2 linked regions of the Pelodiscus sinensis genome follow. The protein of the gene in region 1 interacts with the protein of each later gene in a biochemical or structural test. Links are inferred from orthologs where the notes say so. Each region holds a gene or a part of one and is shown on either strand. Other genes may lie near its edges. The genes, in order: TOM1 and TOLLIP.

Region 1 (9,413 bases):
CTCATTGGTTACTCAATTATTCTATAGTCCCCCGGGGTGGGGCTGGCAGCCAGTGTGCTCCGGTCCCTCTCCTGAGGAGCCCCCTGCCACTCTGCTCTGCTGCCTCTGAATCAGAGGCAACACTGTAGGCTCCAGGTTTGAGCTGGTCTGCAAAAGGAGCCAGTTTAAAAACTGGCTCCCCTCACAGACTAGCTGCCTGTCACCCTATGTTGTTCCCTCTGATACAGAGGCAACAGTGTGGGATGGCAGCAGCCCCTGTCCGGGGAGTGGTCTGAGATCCCGGACCTGGTGTGAGATGGAACTGAGCCAGGCTGCCTGCCTGCCTGACTCCTAATACACTTTAAATGCAGAGCCGCAGTGGTGGTAGGTCCCGAATCCGGTGCAAGGCAGGACTGAGCCGGGATGCATGTAGTCTATAGCATTAACTGATGAGCTTTTTCTTATCAGTTAATCGACTGTACTATTACATCCCTATTATTAAATGAAACATTTTTTTTTGATTGAATGAACTGTTTTGTTTGACTGCAAAAAAAATTTTTTTCGGTTTGCTGAAAATTCTGAAAGTCTGTTTTGGATCCATCCCAAAGCAATTTCTTGTCGATTTTTGTTTTTCATGGAATTGCCAGAGAACTGAAAAATCTGTTATTTGCACAGATCTAGTCTGAGGCTTCCTTTGGGTAGCCAGCCATACCTCTGGGATTAGTGGTGTGCTGCAGTCATAGACACTACAGATAGAGTTGCTGCAACATGTTTGCTGAGATTCTGGGGACCACAGCAATGTCCTTTAAGCTGCCCAGCAGCATTTGCAGAGGAAATCCAGGAGCCCAGACACATTTTTCCCTCCCACCTTACTTCTGAAATTTTTTTCATTTTTCATCCTTTTACATTAAAAGTTATAGAGTTTCTCATGAGATTGTGTGGGCAGGGTGTTTTCCTGGATTCCCCTATTATTTCCATCACCCTGGATTGGGTCCTTCCTTGCTGATCTTCTGTCTGGTGGATATGGGCTCGTTTTGGTTTGTTTCCTAATTCATCTATGCTGCTCCTAGCATTGGCCATAAGGGATGGGGAATCATTTAAAGCAATATGAGATTTTCCCTTGCATCCAGGTGCCCCCAGTGAGAGCACCATCTTTCAACTAGGTCTCCTTGTATTTCCAAAACTCCAAAGGATAGCTGACAGTACTGGTAACATCTAAAAATGGGGCTGATTCCATGCTGTAGAAAATTACATGACAAGATGGGGATCTTCACATCCCATGGCAGCTACACTAAAGCATTGTTTCTGTAGGATTTGGGATCGTAACCCGTTCTCTTTAAAAATATTAAATGTTCTCTTTCCAGTCAAACACACTAGACAACATCGCCTACATCATGCCTGGACTCTGACAGGAAAGGATACTCGTATGTACCCTGCTTCCATGTTACAGACTTCTGTACATAGGCACTATACTGGCACTCTCCAAGGGCTCCATGTGTAGGGTTTTAAACTTTTCTATCTGTATAGTATATACATAGGATTGTAACTATTTTACTTTTATTAATTTTATGAAAAGTTGTGATGTGTAAGCTGAGAGAATCCTTTCCTGTTGGTGGGAGAGACCTGCTCAACATATTCTCCAGTCTGAAGTTTTTGAGTAATTGGAGTTCATAACACTTTTGATTACATCAGCCTTAAATTCAAAAAAGCCTTTTTTGGGAATTGGCCTGAGCCCAGACTGTTTGTCAGTGGACAAGTACACATGCTTGTTTATTTTGGATCAAGCAATTATTCTGGACTTGTCACCAGCCCTGTTTCTAACTTCTGTTGAAATGTACTGCTTTGGGGGAAGACTGGTTGGCTGATGGAAGATAGAGGCTTTGACCTGTAGGTCATTTTTTACAGCCCCAAAGTCATTAGTGATTGAAATTTGTTTGTCTGCTGACTGGTTGGTAACTTGTAATAAATAGTTCTGGAGATGGTGAAGAATCTGTACTCTTCTAGAGGACTTGCACCCACATCATCATTAACACTAGCTGTCAGCCTCAGAAGAGAGCCAAAGATTGAATGGACTAAGGGGAACAAGCCACCCTCTAATTCCTCCAGATCAAGGCTGTGCCATCCTGATGGGGAAGAGAGGGAAATAGGTGGAAGAAACTTGCACTGCCTCTGCCCATCTGTACATGTTTTGTATGGAGAGGACTTTGTTTCTATGAATGTTGATCCCATCGTCCTGTTCACCAGCAGTGTTAAGAAGGAGCTATGGAATCCTCCTGGTGCTGCTGTATTATCTTGAAACAATGCTTAATGTTAAAGGTTGAAGAGGTTCTTTCTGAGCTGAACATGGACTGAGTGGACAAATCCCATGAAAGCTACAGGAAAGCATTTGATTCTCACGTAGAGGTGTGTGCGTGGTATATTTAAGTTTTACCAGTATCTGTAACAGAGTTTAATTTATCATGTATATTTCTGTATATATGTGTGTGTGGATGTGTATATACATATATATTTATATATATATATAATTTAAAAGCAAAAAAGCCTTCCCTCTACAAATTGCGTGTGGAAAATATGAATCAGCTCATCCCCCACCTTGCCAATGGTAACTGTTTCAGTTGTTGCAGGCATAGACTTTGCAAGAGGGACTAGTGACAACAGGTTAAATTCTCGAAAAGAATTTAACCCAGGGATGTTGGGTGAAAGCTGAACTAGAGACCCATTTATTTTGGCTCCGGCCTCCTCTTCCCTTTTAACTTAGGGGTTTTAAGATAGCAGAAGGACAGCACTTCTGCTTCTGTTTTGAATTCTGGATTCTCTATTTTCAGTGGCAGCTGGAAATGAGCATTACCACTTTATGGCTGAGCTCTAAATCTTTTGTGGTTAAGCAGATCCTCGGGTGTGAAGAGGGAAGCTTTCACCCAATCCTCTCTACTATGTATTTCCCCAGCTGCACATACATGGTAGATGCTGTTTTTGCATTGCTTCGTCTCGTAATTCAATGCTATTTTATTGGTTAGTCAACAGGGCTGGGTTGGTGGATGAAACAAGAGGCTCTTATAGAGCATATAGAAGATCTGGGCCCAGGCCTCAGACTTAGGCATACACATCTCAAAAATATGTGACTATATATAATCCTAAGCAGCATTTGAGGGAGGCAGGGTGGACAGAAGGATCTTGGTGGGCCCTTTGGACCCTCACATGTCTTGAAAATGGCATAAAACACCTGACTGTTTCTCACTCTCCACAGTGGACAGTACTGTAGTGAATGATAGATATTCAGATCTCTATCTAAGAAACAGAAGGGGATCAATCAGCTATTATTTTTGATCTGTATAACAAACTCTTGAAGAGTTTTAAAAAAACAACCACACACATAAACCCTAATGTATTGTATTTTTATTTAAAATTTATAAACATTTGTATAATCTGTATCTTGTGGTATTTGGTACTAGAAGGAAAACTTTGGACCGAGACCTAGCAGTTTTTATATTTTTGTTATTTTTCTTGCCATTTGGTCCAGATTGCATTACAGTTGTATAAAGAAACCTTTTTGTACTGTACTTACATATAATATTTTTTAACATTTGGAGTATGTGTCATTATTATTTATAGCATGCTCTGTATCTTCTCCCCAATGCTAGTTATTAGTGTTCAGTATTACTAAACAGCACATCTGTTCTTCTAGCTTCTCCTGTTCAGGCAGTATATTCCAACACCAGTATATTCTAATATCACAGTCTGCTTGATACATCTCTTGAAAATTACTGATAATTATTTAGAGGCCTATTCCATATTTCTTAGCAGCATCAGTGAGAGACATGCCTGAGAGCTGTCATCTAGCATTGCAAATGTCCCAATGTTGAGCCATATTTCTGCCCCTGGGATCCTCCCTGCAACTGGATTTGTGTTGCAAGCAAAATAGTACTGGTGGTTCAGGATCAGTATGGTAAAACTGCCTGTTACAGAAAAAACAGGAATAGTACATATTGTCATAGTCTTTAAAAATTCTGTTTTCAGTTGAGAAACTCATGGGTCAGTTTCAGCCTCAAAACTTGTGATAGTTTGTCAACCTGTCAACCCTTGATATTGCAGAATATGACACTTCACTAACCCTCCTTATATTTCAACACAAGTTGACAAGAGAGAAATTTTAAAATACTTAACCACCTACCAAAACACATTTCACGATTCCACGAAAACCACTGCCTTATGTTCTACTTTGAGAGCTATTTAACATATATAGGCAGAAACATACATGCTGCAGGTGGTTGTCCTTTCCTCCTACTGTCACATAAGATGTTAGTTTATCATTTTTTTACATGATTAACTGATAAGCCTGCATTTACCGGTTACTCCAAATGACTACATGCACAACCCCAGTTTGCTGCTCTGTATCAGAGGTAATGTGAGGAGAGGTGGGAACTGGTGCTGGTTCCCTCAGAGCTGCCTCCCACAGAGGCAGCACCAGCACTGGGGGAAGTGCTTATTCATCCTGACAGGAAGTTTTTCCTAATGTCCATCCTAAACCTTGCTGCAATTTAAGTTTCTTGTCCTATAATCAAAGGTTAAGGAGAATAATTTTTCTCCCTTCTTGTAATACCCTTTTAGATACTTGAAAACGGCTATCATGTCCCCGCTTTGTCTTCCCTTTTCTATACTGAATAAACCTAATTATTTGTCTTTTACTGGATCTTGAATTATTTGGGGGCATTGTAATGTGATGAGGTGACCCCGGGTTCATTATTGCCCCATATTATGCCTTCACCAGGAAAATGAAAGCCTTTAGACCCACAGTCTAAAACAGGACTACGTAGCACTTTATAGACTAACAAGATGCTTTATTAGATCAAATCTGAGGAAGTGGGACTGGCCCACAAAAGCTCATCACCTAATAAACCATCTTGTTAGTCTTTAAAGTGCTACATAGTCCTGTTTTTTGTTTCACCTGCAGCAGACTAGCAGGGCTACATCTCTATTACTAGTCTAAAACAGGTGAGAGGAAGAATATCCCTTGTGTAGGAGAGTTCTGCTGTGCTCTAATCCACATGTAGCATGGAGGTGGGGTCAGATGATGCCTAATCTACTCCTTGAGGTGGGGGAGAACAGGGCCATGAGGTCTTTGTGGGTGAGGGAAAAGGGGGGGATGGAGGGTCACGTGTAGGAGCAGATAAAACTCAGGTAGGAGCGGCCAGGTCGATGGGGGGGGGGGGGTAGGTAGGGGACGAGGAGTAAAGAGCTTATTTCACAGTCCCCTGGTAAGCCTGTAGCATATTTGCCTCTGCAGTGACGACATAGTGTGAGGTCACGAGCCTAGCTTTGTGACGTCACAGTGTCCGCTTGTGCTACGGGCCCGCCCCTCCCTCCGCGCCTCCCGCAGACCGGCGCTCTCCGCCGGGCACGCCCTGGAAGGACAGAACGCCGCCTGCTTTCGTCACGCGTAGGCGGGGCGGCCAGGCACACCCCGTCCCGAGCCCGAGGGGGGGTCACGTGACGGGCGCCCGTGTCAGCTGATACCGGGCCGTGCGGCGGCGGCGATGGACTTTCTCCTGGGCAACCCCTTCAGCTCCCCTGTGGGGCAGCGCATCGGTGAGTCCCTCTGCCCCCTTCGCCCCCTCCCCCCGCCAAGTCAGCCCCCTCCTCTGGGGAGCAGCAGCGACAGCAGCTGGGTAGGCGCGCGCGGCTGGGCGGGTCCCACAGCCTCCTCGCAGGATTGACACAGTTCCGGCCAATAGAGAGGCGAGACTGATTTGACTGACGAGCGCCGGCGGCTAATGGGGGCAGGCGGGAAGGCGGGCCACGGGGGGGCCATGGGGCCAGCCAATCCCCGTGCACGGGGGTCTCGGAAGTTTTCTTATTTAAAGGGGCCCGGTGGCCAGAGCCGAGCCCTGTGCGAGGCGGCGGGGGCTGCGGATGGATGTGCCGCGTCACAGCACCGCGAGGCCTCCCCCTGACCCTGGCGACCCTACAATAACAACCCGGACTAGGGTTGCCAGCTCCCCCGGAGCGCCCGAGAGTCTGCAGCAGCTGAAGCCTAGTACTGTGCAGTCACAGATGTTACTTGTCATGTGATGGAACCTCCAGGAATATGTCCAACTACAATGGGCACCCTAGCAGGGACTACAGGCAACTAACTGAGTGTTGCCTGTGCTCCCACGTCAAGTAGAGGTGGCTGTAGCAGCAGCAGAAGGGTTCTTGGGGAACAGCCTGTGGGTGTCAGTTGTAGGGAGGAGAGCAGGTACCAGGGGAACTGTAATCTGCTCCCTGCCCTTGGAGCCACCCATCCCCATCAGTGCAATGACCTGGGTGGTGTCCCTGCTAGTTTGGAGGGGAAGAACACGTACTTATTCTGGCTTCACAGTTAGCTCTTCAGGGCAAGGGTTGTACATGCTTCGCTAAGTTTATGACACTAATAACCACATGTACCTGGCCTCACTGTTCAGGCTAATTCTTACTGAGCTCCTTGCACCCTCCATCTCCTTGTGGAGTTAGTCTTCTCCCTCCCTCTCTCCCCGGCCCCAAGACCCGTGATCAGCATTGTTAGAAATCCATGGAAAGCTTTGGCAAAAATCTGGAATTTTTAACAGGGAGGTTTTGTTTGCATTTTCTAATCTGTTTAACTGAACTCTTTTAATTAGGGCATCTTCCTCATCTGAAGAATGGGCTTATTCAGTGTAAACATGTTGGCTACGTCTAGACTGGAATGATTTTCCGCAAATGCTTTTAACAGAAAAGTTTTTCTGTTAAAAGCATTTGCGGAAAAGAGCGTCTAGATTGGCACGGATGCTTTTCCGCAAAAGCACTTTTTTGCAAGAAAGCCCCAATCGCCATTTGCGCAAGAGGGCTTTTGCCTGAACGGGAGCAGCATAGCATTTCCGCAAGAACACTGACAATCTTACATGAGATCATCAGTGTTCTTGTGGAAATTCAAGCGGCCAGTGTAGACAGCTGGCAAGTTTTTCCGCAAAAGCAGCTGCTTTTGTGGAAAATCTTTCCAGTCTAGACACAGCCGTTATGTTTCAGCAATATATTGATTTCCACTAATTGAATTAATTATTAGCCAGAGTTTTTGAAAGATTGGGGCCTTTTCTATAGCACCATGGTTTTACCCCAGTGCTTTATGAATAGATGAATTATTCCCTGCCCTATCAAGTTTTTAGGAAGGCAAGATATCAAAGGCATAAATGCATCTAAGAACTTCCAGATAAATAGGATCTGATCCAGTATAAGACCTTGCAAATCTAGAAAGAACAGCATTCTTCTTAGTCTTTTGGTTGAGTTTAACTAAAGAAAGGGAGGAAACTAATATACAATAAACTAAAACAACAAGAAATTGGAAAATTGAGAGAAAGTACAAAGAAGGACTGGAGAAACAAAGCTGGAAGGGAAAAATACGTTTTTAAAAGTATTTAACAAAGTTTTAATGTAGAATGATTTTTATAAAGACTTTATCTGCTTGTATGGTGTAATATTTTTTACTTTTTCAGGGAAACCTTGTATCTCTGGGCGGGGGAGTAAGTCTGTCCTTGGTTTCTGGTCCTTTGCTTGTTTACCTATCAGTTCCACAATGTTGCGTCTCAGACTGTAATCTTCTGCAGACTTTCTTTGACAGCCTGACGAAGTCACTCACTAATTGAAACTGTGATATTAATGACAGACTATTTAAGCACAAATTCAACTCAAGAATCTCTGGGGCTGCCACCACCGAAGTCTCTATTATGTCAGAGACCTACATTCTTCTCACCTTGGGGCCTTTTAATTCATTCCACCCTAATTATCCCTTGCTCTCACACACAGCTGGGACTACAGGTTGTCATTGGAGAAGAGGGTGCGGGAGTTTGCTTAGCTGAAGAGAAGAGGCAAAACCCTTCTGAAAACCCTTCTCTATGACCCCCATCAAAATTGTCCAATGGGTTTCCCCCTGATATTTTATTTTATTTGAATTCTTATAGTGCACTCAGCAGTGTGGTAGCTGAATGTCTTCCAGTTGTGTATTGAACAATGTGACTAATATCTGTCACATGCACAGACTTCTCTTCCTGAAGAGAGGATGAGAGAACAAGCAATGGAGTGACTTTACACATGCACACACCCATGTTGCTAGCTAATGTCGAGCACTAAAATAGGGTGCCTTGATTTTTTTTCATCTTGAAAAGCTGGCCCCATGTTTATGTGTGGTGTCATTCATTCCAAAAAGCTCAAAGCATTATGCAAACTATCTAAATAGAACAGTGTCAAAGTGTGTCATGCTCTGGAGTAGGGGCCAGCAGCCTGGTCCATGGTATGTGGTACAATGTGGGGGGGGTGATTGTTCCTACTATGGTGGAAAGTACCATGTGATCTGTAACAGACAGTAACCGCACATGTTGTCATTTATTATCTGGAGAACGTTCTTCTGGATCCCCCTAGAACAAGTGTCCCTTGATTCCTGAAGTGAGTGGATTCTGCATGTTACATTTAGTCAGGTTTGACTTGCCCTCCCTTAGATGCTGTCAGCTTTCACTTCTTTCCCTACTTCCTGTCTTGTTTGGGATGGCAACTAGGGATGTAATAGTGTAGTCGATTAAACTATTAACCGATAAGCAAAGGCATATTGGTTAATGCTATCCAGTGCTTTTTTTGTTAAAAAAAAATGATGCTGGTACTAGGGTTGCCAGATGGTTTTGTTGAGCAAAAAAAAAAAACCCGCCCTTTAATTGCTGCATGTCCTGAGTGGGCTTCCATCCAGCGCAGCACAAGTGCTCCCAGGGCCGGCAGGGGGCTGTGCTGGAGGAAAGTGGTGAGTGCTCACAAAAAAAGCACTGATGCTCTCAATTACACACATTTCCCTTTCTTCCCCTACCCCCACCAGTAAATTTTTAGACAGCTAGCCGGCAGCCTGGTTCAATCCCTGCTGGTGCCAGGTCCAGGAGCTACCCCCGCTGCAGCTCTGCAGTGCATATCTTTTAGGAGCTGGATGAATAGGCCGCCCAGCTCCTAAAATACTTTTATTGCAGAGTCACAGCAGGATAGCTCCTGGAACCTGACGTAAGCCTGCCTGGCTTCTAAAAGATTTTTACTGCACAGCCACAGTGAACATAAGAATGGCCATACTGAGTCAGACCAAAGGTCCATCTAGCCCAGTATCCTGTCTGCCGACAGTGGCCAATACCAGATGCCCCAGAAGGAGGGATCACAACAGGTAATCTTCATGTGATCCTCCCCTGTCACCCACCTCCAGAGAAACAGAGGCTAGGGATACCATTCCTACCCATCCTGGCTAATAGCCATTGATGGACCTAACCTCCATGAATCTATCTAGCTCTTTTTTGAACCCTGATGAAGTTCTAGCCTTCACCACATCCTCTGGCAAGGAGTTGCACATGCTGACTATGCACTGAGTGAAGAAAAAAGTCCTTTTGTTTGTTTTAAACCTGCTGCCTATTAATTTCATTTGG
Region 2 (9,065 bases), on another chromosome or scaffold:
AACATAACTTGGGAGGTGATGTACCACTGCCATATTTCTGTGCGGTACTATGGTGACATTTTGTTGCAGTATGATAGGGCTATTCCACTACTATGCCCACATCTTCACTTGCGGGAAGATCAACACTGCGGTGGTCGATCTTTTGGTGTGTGATTTAGTGGGTCTAGTAAAGACCCACTAAATCGAACACCAAGGATGCCTCTGTCGGCACCGGTACTCCTACTCTTCGTGAGGAAGAAAATATTTTTCCTATTGACCTCCCTGAAGCTCAGCTTAAGGTACATCAACTCCAGTCACATTTTTTACATAGCTGGAATTGTGAACTTTAAGCCAACCTTCCCCCGTAGTGTGGACCTGGCCTATGTCACTGCATAGTATCAGGTTGCTGTGTTCAACACAGTGATAACATTTCAGCATAAGGTGACAATGATGATGTTTCCCCACTACATAGCCTCGCTGCATTACAATGCTGTTTCAATGCAGTGTTTAGCTGCCATGATTTTGTGCCACATTGTAATATGCTGTAGACATCTTAATGCCCTGATGCAGTGGTGCATCACAAAGTTTCAGTGGAAAGTGATGGTGATATTTCCTCGTCCCGTTGCTCCGCTGTGGCACCGCAATGCTATTTCAGTGCAGTAGAACAGATTTCTCAGTGCCCTATCACACTGATGCATTGCCATGATCATTTGGTGCAAGGTGATAGTTGTGCTGTGTAACCATGGTATTTCAGTGCAATGTTTCATTGTTGTGCCACCGTAACACGTCATAATAGCCACATTTCAGTGCAATGTGAGGATGATGTTTCATTATCCCATCACTGCATTATGTTGTAATGATGTTTCTTCATCGAGCAAGGGACACATTTTACCCTCGCGTCACCACGCTACATATGGATGGGGTTTTAAAGTAATGCAATGTAGATGTTTCACCTTCATTTTGTAGCACTGCATCACCATGAGGTTTTGGCACAAGAGAATGGTAATGGTGATCCCCACACCATCACCCTTGTGTCACGTTGTATGATGCTGTTTCTGCACGATGTGATGATGATGTACTATATTGTTGCACTGCATCACAATGATTTTTCTGTGCAAGGCTGTAGCGACGTTACACTGTTGCCTTGTTCTACTATCCCACAATTATATTTGGTTCAAGGCAATGGTGTTCAGCTGCTATATTGACATGCCACATCATAGCATTTCAGCAAACTCCGATGGGAATGTTTCCAGGGGTTTTGGCTATTGGTTAACTGAATAATCGTGTAACCGCATCAAATTTTACCAGTTACACAATTATTTGATAGTCCCTGGATGTGGAGCCAGCACTCAGTGTGCTCCTGGCCCAACTCCTGGGGAGCCCCCTGCTATCCCACACTGCTGCCTCTGTATCAGAGACAGCAGCATGGGAGAGCGGTAGCTCCTCTCTGTGAGGGACTTTGCTGCAGCCTCCCCGCTCTGCACTGCTGCCTTTGATAGAGGCAGCAGTGTCGAGGGAAGAGGAAGGTGGCGGCGGTGCACATGAGAAGCCGGGTTTTAAGATGGCTCCCCCTGAGCACCGGCTCTTGCCTGCCCCCCACCTCCACCCCCGCCCGTGCAAGAGACCACAAGGGAGAAGCAGGCGGCTCTGTGGAGCTGGCACACGTGGAGAGCTGGCTTAAAAGCCAACTCCCCACATGTATGTGCTCCTGCTTCTGCTCCCTCTTCACCCTATGCTGGTGCCTCTGATAAAGAGGTAGTAGGGTGGGAGGGAAGGGGCAAGTGGCTCTATGGGAGATGATACATGTCAGTCAGCTTGAAAGCGGCTTCCCATTTGTACCAGCTCCTGCCTGTCCCTCCTCCCACTTACCCTCTATCAGAGCCAGCAGCGTGGAGGGGGGAAGGGAGGGCGGGAACAGGCGACTCTGTTTGTGGGGAGCTAGCTTAAAAGCCAGCTTCCCATGGGCACCAACTCCCACCTCCCCACCTTGCTGCCGCTATATCAGAGGCAGCAAGGTGGGGAGGAATGTGTATAGTCAATAGGATTAACCAATAAACCCAGGCTTATCAGTTAATCATGTAGTCAGCTACACATTGACATCCCTAGATGTTTTGTGGTCAAATTGATGTGTTGTTTTAATGCAGAGGGATAGTGATGATGTTTTAGTGTCACGCTGTCACCCTCTCCTAATACTACTTCAGTGCAAGCAGATGGAGGTAATGTTTTACCCACACATGGCCATGCCGTATTCCAATGAGTTCAAGCACCTTGTCGTCATGACATACACAATAATATTACCTTGGAGTAGGATGGTTGTGTTTCAGTGCAAGGCAGGTGTTTCTGAATAAGTAGTGTCTTAGTGTGGGATCATTGGTGTCTCTCTGTGAGAGGGATCTTGGAAGAGGCTGTATTGGGGCAGGGTGGAGCTATCTCAGATGGAGGCATCTTGGGGTGGGCAGTGGAGTCTTAGCATTCAGTGGCAGTGTCCCTGTGTGGCATAATGAACATTTTGGTGATCTGGAACAAAGACACCACCCACAGAAAGGTAGTGTTCCAGTGTGGTGGCTCTTTCTGGGTGGCGGATTGTGCTGAATGAGGTCGTCTCACATGAGGCAGTCAGTGATGTATTTAGCAAGGCATGTGAGTGTCTGTGTGCAGTGTGGTGGTGCCTTAGGACAAGGCAATGGTCATTTTGGCAGGGGAGGATGGAATCACAATATGGGACTGTTGAGTCTGATGTCTCTGCGTAGGTCTATCTTGGGATGGAGGAAAGTTTTCTTTACACAGTAGCATTTTGGCAGGTGAGCAGTGGCCTTTTTGGTGAGTGATGGCAGAGTGTTGGTGCAATATCACACCAGCATAGAGGCCATTTTACTGAAGGGTGATTTTGCATGGATGTTTTTGGTAGGTGTAGGGACAGTGGCTGTTTTAGTATTGGGCTCTTTTTGGTGCAATGCAGTGACATCTGGGTGCAGTGGTCTCTCACAGTGGAGTCCTTGCCTGGAAAGTGCTAATCAGTGAACATTTCCAGATGAACCTTGGAGAGTTGCTAGAAGGCACAAAACATTGCTAAACTTCAGATATCCTGTATTATTAGTGTGTGGAAAACTAGGTGATCGTTTTCTTTCGGCCATCAACATGTGCTCCAAAGATGCAATATTTTGTTCACAGCTTGCACTATAGGCAAGAATATTATGAGATCTAGAATTGTTACAGCTGTCAAAACACATATATTTCAAATGGTTGTGGTTGAATTAAAGTACTGATGGGTTTCATGTGTTTTTTTTAAATAACGTGGATATTAAATATATTGTTTAACAACAATGATGAGAATATATTTTTCAAAATGGGGAGGGCTCTTTACTTCTAGTCTTTTCACATGACGTGTTCCAAAATAAGTTATAGGGAAAATATTACATAATTAAAAACCTGTTTTTGCAGTCTTGTAAGATGAATTTATTTTATACCACTGTGACAAAAGAACTTTGTGGGATAGTATGTGCCCATTTATAAGTCTCACCTGGACATTTGCCCAATACCTGGACATTTGCCCAATTTTAATTTTTCAGAAAAAATATAATTACAGTATATCTTTTTTTAAATAAAAAACTTTCAAAAAAGTCAAATAATACTTCTGTTAACCTACAGGTGTATTACTACATGCTACTTCTTGCACATCAGTATCTGATTAAAGAAATGTCAAATGTACAGAAAATTCTAATTTAGGTTTATTGTCCTGTTTAAGATGTAGAACAGAAAACCAGTATTTCCTTCTAGTAAACTGAAAAAACCTTGCAGAAAATAACTAAGTACAAATCATAGACAAAGCACAATAAAGTATTCAGCAAGCCAATATAGCTGGCAATAAAAACATTTCATGCCAATAATACTTAGCAATCCTTATATTTAACAAACCATGAGTTAAGACTTAATATATTACCGTAAGTGTAGAAAATTCCCTATAGAACGGGGTTGCGTTGTTGTGGAAAGGAGTCTGACTATGTAAGCAAATGGTTGTTTCATTTTTTAAAAAAAGTATTACAATCATCAGCTGTTATCTTCTCGGGGGAGGTAAGTAAGTAAGAGCAGATTTATTTCCGCAAAAGAGACTGTGAAAATTGCAGAGGACACACACACAGCACACGTGTCTACCACGTCACAACACACACACGTTCCTCACACAGTACACACACACACACACACACAGACACACACGTGACAGTGCACACATCCATGCCCACGTCACAGCGCACACGTGTCACGGTAGCCACTCCATAACTAGTGCTACGAACAGCCCTCTCCAGATCTCAACAGACGTCGCATCTGAGCGACCTAGCACCTCGGTCCCTGGCAGCAAGGGCCAGAGTCCCTGCTGCAGCCCAGCCCCATGCCACATCCCCAAGCAGAAGCCCGGCTGCACCGTCCCCTCGCCCATAGCTAATGGCACAGCGCCCCCTGCAGGCCCAGCGTCTCCTCCGTGCCGGCTGGCTCTGCGCCTGTCGCCCGCGAAGAGCGAGGCGGAGGGAAAGGGCACTCCCCGGTGCACAGGCGTAGTCGAGCCGTTTGAGAGACATTTCGCACGAACGCTTTGTCCCAGCCATGTCGCATGCGCATGCGCCAACCGCAGGCTCCTCTCGCCCACCCAACCCTTCTCAAAGGCAGGGGCCGGAACCACCTGAGCTACGCACGCGCATTACCCCCAAAGGAGGCGGGATCAGTGGCAACCCGCCGGGCGGCGCGTGCGCATGGGCTATCTAGCGGTTTGGGCGTGGAGGCGGAGTTTAGAGGGGGGAAAAGCCGTTGCGCCGCGCAGGCGCAGTGCCGAGTAAGCGGGGCGAGGCTTGTGCTCAGCTGACGCCGGAGCGGTGGGGCTGGGGGTCGGTTGGCGGCGGCCTGCTCGGGCAGAAAGGGGGTCCCGCTATGGCGACCACTGTCAGCACCCAGCGGGGCTCGGTAAGTAATCGCTGCCCAGGGCCACGCGGGGTGGGAAACAAGGGGTCTCCTCCGGGCCCGGTCTCCGTCCTTCCCACCATTGGCCGTGGGCCCCAGCGGCTGCCCTCTCGCCATAGCTCCCCCCCCCCCGAGCTGTGCGGCCCCCGCCCTTCGCCCCTAGTGTTCGGGCCAAGGGGCCCCCACTGCCAGCAGCTCCCCCCCGTGTGTGTGTGTGGGGGGGGGTCTGCCCCGTCTTCCCACCGGGAGAAGGGCCTTTAGGGGACTCTGCCCATCGTCCCCTCCCCCCACGAGGCCCCGGGGGGCTCTGCCCCTTCCCCCAACGTAGCCCTTAATCAGGCAGAGGAGGCGAAAAGGGGACCCGGGGGGAGCGCAAAGCGGCGTGCGGCGCCCTCCCTGCTCCCAAACGGCTGCCTGCTGCTGGGAAGGAAATGAGACGTTAGGGGGCAGCTGTCTGTCTCTGTTCTGTCGTGGGGACATCTGTGGTGGAGGGGGGTGTGTGTGTGTGTGTGTGGACGGGAGGGGGCTAGATAGCTTCCCCAATTATCACCTCTATCTTGGTAATGGGTAAGATAGTTTGAGTGACACTCTCCGGGAAGGAATGAACAAACACTCAAACTATCTTACCCATTACCAAGATAGCTTCCCCAATTATCACCTCTAATACCATTAGCTCACAGACATCCCACTCTCCCCACCTCTAATTTCATCAATTCACAGACACTTACCTTCCTTCCCCCCCCCTTGCATCCCCCTCCTGTTCTGAAATGTGATTTGTCCTTTTCATATGTGTTCACTTTTTTTTTAATTGTATCCTTTGGTATATATGGTTGTGACTATTTTCTTCCACTATTTGATCTGAGGAAGTGGGTCTGGCCCGTGAAAGCTCATCACCTACTAAACCATCTTGTTAGTCTTTAAAGTGCTACATTGTCCTGCATTTTGCTTCAGCTACCCCAGACTAACACGGCTACATTTCTATCACTCTTGAGAGAAGTGATTAATAGACTTCTGTTGATTCCTAAAACTGCTCTGTGTCTGGAATACATAATTCCCCTTTCTGTTCCTCTTTCCATAACAAAAGATAAGACACAATTTCTATATTTCTCTCCCTATAGTTTGAAGGGCGACTTCTTCCCAAACTGTAGTACAAGTAAATAACCACTAAAGGGTGCTAAAGCACTAAATATTAGGTTCCTTCAACCCTATTCTGTAGACTAGAGAATGTGACCTTTGTGTTGATGGTAGTTTATCCAAGCAGGAATAGTTCCAAGATTTTTCAAGTGTGGGTACCTGGCAGCACACAATAGCATTGGTGTCAGCAGTCAGCATATTCAATCTTATGTACATGCTTCCCAATTTGTAGCTCATTTATACATATTTAATAAGATACAAAGCTTGTCATTTAGTTTATCGGATGATGAAAACTGAAGTTCCTTTTGACTATCAGTAGCAAATGCTTAAGTGGAATATTCCTGAAGCTCTTGATAGTCTGGTGTCTTGACTAATAATCTTCCTTTCACAACAATATAAATTCTAATATGTGAGCTATGGATGAATTTTAGTGGCAGCTGTATTTTTCTTTGTAGTTATTATATGATCAGTATCTTGTATCTTTAACAAGTGTGGTGGATATGAGAGGTGCCATTAAAAAAATCTGTTGGTTGGATTTCAAATTATATCTGCGAGAATACAAAATTAATGATTCCTTAAAATGCTCCTTTTGCAGTCCATTTTATGTTTGTTGGTGACACAGTATCTCATCATTAAGTTGGAGCTCCTGACTGTTTTATCACTCAGAGCTCTTTTACTAAAGATGTGCTGCTTTTTCTGGATATAAATTAACTTTTGACTTACTGTTCTCTCATGTTCTTAATGGAAAGAATGTATGAGGAATCCTAATTTAACTGTGTTGCAGAGGGATGCACTTAGACCTGAAATGCCAGTGTCCAGTGATGGTAAATATCATCTAGCTATCCTGCTGCTGCTTGGTCAAGGATAAAGTTTGGGTTCTGCAATACATTTTGGTTCAGAATTTCTGATTGGAAAGAAGTGGATGCTTATAATGCCTCTATGCACTTAATATTTTTCAGCAGTTAAGGCAAACATTTACAACTTCATCGTAGTTGTGATATAGTGGTGGTCTCTGTGGGAATACTGCTGTCAGAAAATGTGCAAACTAATGTAGATAGAGCTACTTAGTGCTCATTTACTGAAGAAATATGTTTTCAGAAAGTTACCCTGATTGACTCAAAGGCTTTCTGTTAGCAGACAAGACTTTTGGATCTACGCAAAAAACTTTGGAAGAAAGGAAGGTTTAATGATGCATGGGATGATGTGGAAGAATTCAAAACTTCTCAGTGCAATCAGTACTGAAATTCTGAGAAGCATTTCCTCCTCTCCTCTCTCACAGACACATACTTTTAAAGCAAATCTCAATGTGAATTAGAAGCCTAGTCCTAAATCAACATTTTTCACTAAAGGAAAGTAAGACACAGAGGTTCACTATCTTATTAATGAGTTACTCAGTAAATCTGTACAGGTTGGAACTCTTTTAACTGGGATGGGAACATTCATGCTGCAGCATGGATGCTGCAGGAGCAGAGCGTCCCAGTGGAGGGCCAGTGACAAGGATCCCTGCAGGGCCGACAGAGCAGTTGGGGTGCCCACAACAAGCCTGCTATCAGCGCGTGGCAGCAGGTCTGGCCAGCGGGATTGGGGAGACATGCGTGTATCTGTCTGGTGGGGTTGGGAGCTGTGGTAGCTTGGTGGGGCAGGGATCCATGGCATGCAGCTATCTGGCGGGTCTCAGAGCCCCAGTGCAGTGTGCATGGCTGCCTGCGGGACCTGGAGCCCCAGCTCAGCATGTGCAGTTGCCTGTCGGGATCTGGAGTCCAAGGTTGGCATGTGAGATGTGGCCCAAAGCCACCGAAGTGATGGCTGCCCAGCAGGGTCCGCAGGGCATTTGGGCCAGCAGGAGGTGAGGAGCTGGCAGCAGCAGGGGGTCCACAAATGACCTCTTCTAGTCCAGCAAAATCCCTCAAGGACTGGACAGGTCGTGAGGGTGCCAGACCAGGGAGGTCCAACCTGTAGCTGAGCAGTAGAGCCCAGATGTCACGGAGCCCAGAGCTTAAATCTCTAAAAATACACATTTTATATCAATCATCGTAATGGAACATTAGTTTTGATCTTATTCAAAACGTCAGTGATGGTTTTTTTTATTCTCCAAAAGCTGTAGTTGTTCTTCACGCTCGTTTCATAGATACGATGGCCTTGATCTGGATGTTGTGAGACTCATATGTCTATTTGTAAATAGCTACAAAGATTGTTTTGAGTGAGATCCTGACTCCTATCAGACTTGATCAAGGCAGTCATTTCTGTATTTGTAAGTAAGCATTACAGAATCTAGTTGGTCTCTGATCTAGCTGTCCATATAATTAATTCAGCAGAAGTAAAATAATACATTTTAACTAGTGCCTTTATAGAATTTTTTATTGATAGAATTTTTTATTGAAAGCACTTGTGTCCAGAGCTTGAATTTATGCTGATAGTGCTTGACCTTTTCTATTGACCCAAGTTGGCAAAAGCCAGAAATTTTAAGATGTCAGTTCTCCAAAATGCTGTTTCCTCATAGGAATAGTTAAACTGAGGATTGTGAAGAGCGGTAAGTAGTGGAGAAGCAATAGGTAAATTGGATTTTTCATGATGTAAAAAGCCATGCCCTATAATACTAACTAAATAGCAACCCTCGTATTCTCCCCCTTGCCCCACCCCAAAAAAAAACCCTCACTCAACCTTAATTCTGTATTAACAAAGGGGTTCTTGGGTATTCTAGAGATAGCTAGTGCCTTTCCAGAGTATCAAGTAGGGATGCTCGCAAACATTTGTTTTTGTAAATCTGTAATTGCTGACTTTTTTTCAGCAGTTCCATGTTTACACATGGGGGGCAGGCTGGAGCTGATGCTTGCAGGGAGCTAGCTGAAACAGAGGTAGCTGTGTGTGTGGGGGGGGGAGGGATGGGGAGGAGACAGCTCTATGGGAGCCAGTGCTGCCTCTGTGGGAGGCGGTTAAGAGGGGGTCAGGCAGATCTGTGGGAACTGGCACGTGCAGGGAGACAGCTTAAAAGCCAGCTCCCC

Evidence for each region.
Region 2: the proteins of TOM1 (region 1) and TOLLIP form a complex in vitro, tested with the Homo sapiens proteins (3 studies listed by BioGRID and IntAct, with this or other methods). The link is inferred for Pelodiscus sinensis from reciprocal best matches to the Homo sapiens genes TOM1 and TOLLIP.

The regions. Positions count from the first base shown.
Region 1 is NC_134711.1:94,113,444-94,122,856, reverse strand, and holds the start of TOM1 (target of Myb1 membrane trafficking protein), read left to right. Parts: upstream 1-5,356; 5' UTR 5,357-5,513; coding exon 5,514-5,565; intron 5,566-9,413. Other genes in the region: HMGXB4 (HMG domain-containing protein 4), read left to right, coding at 1,344-1,388.
Region 2 is NC_134714.1:117,913,490-117,922,554, forward strand, and holds the start of TOLLIP (toll-interacting protein), read left to right. Parts: upstream 1-4,774; 5' UTR 4,775-4,899; coding exon 4,900-4,932; intron 4,933-9,065. UniProt on the Homo sapiens protein: Component of the signaling pathway of IL-1 and Toll-like receptors. Inhibits cell activation by microbial products. Recruits IRAK1 to the IL-1 receptor complex. Inhibits IRAK1 phosphorylation and kinase activity.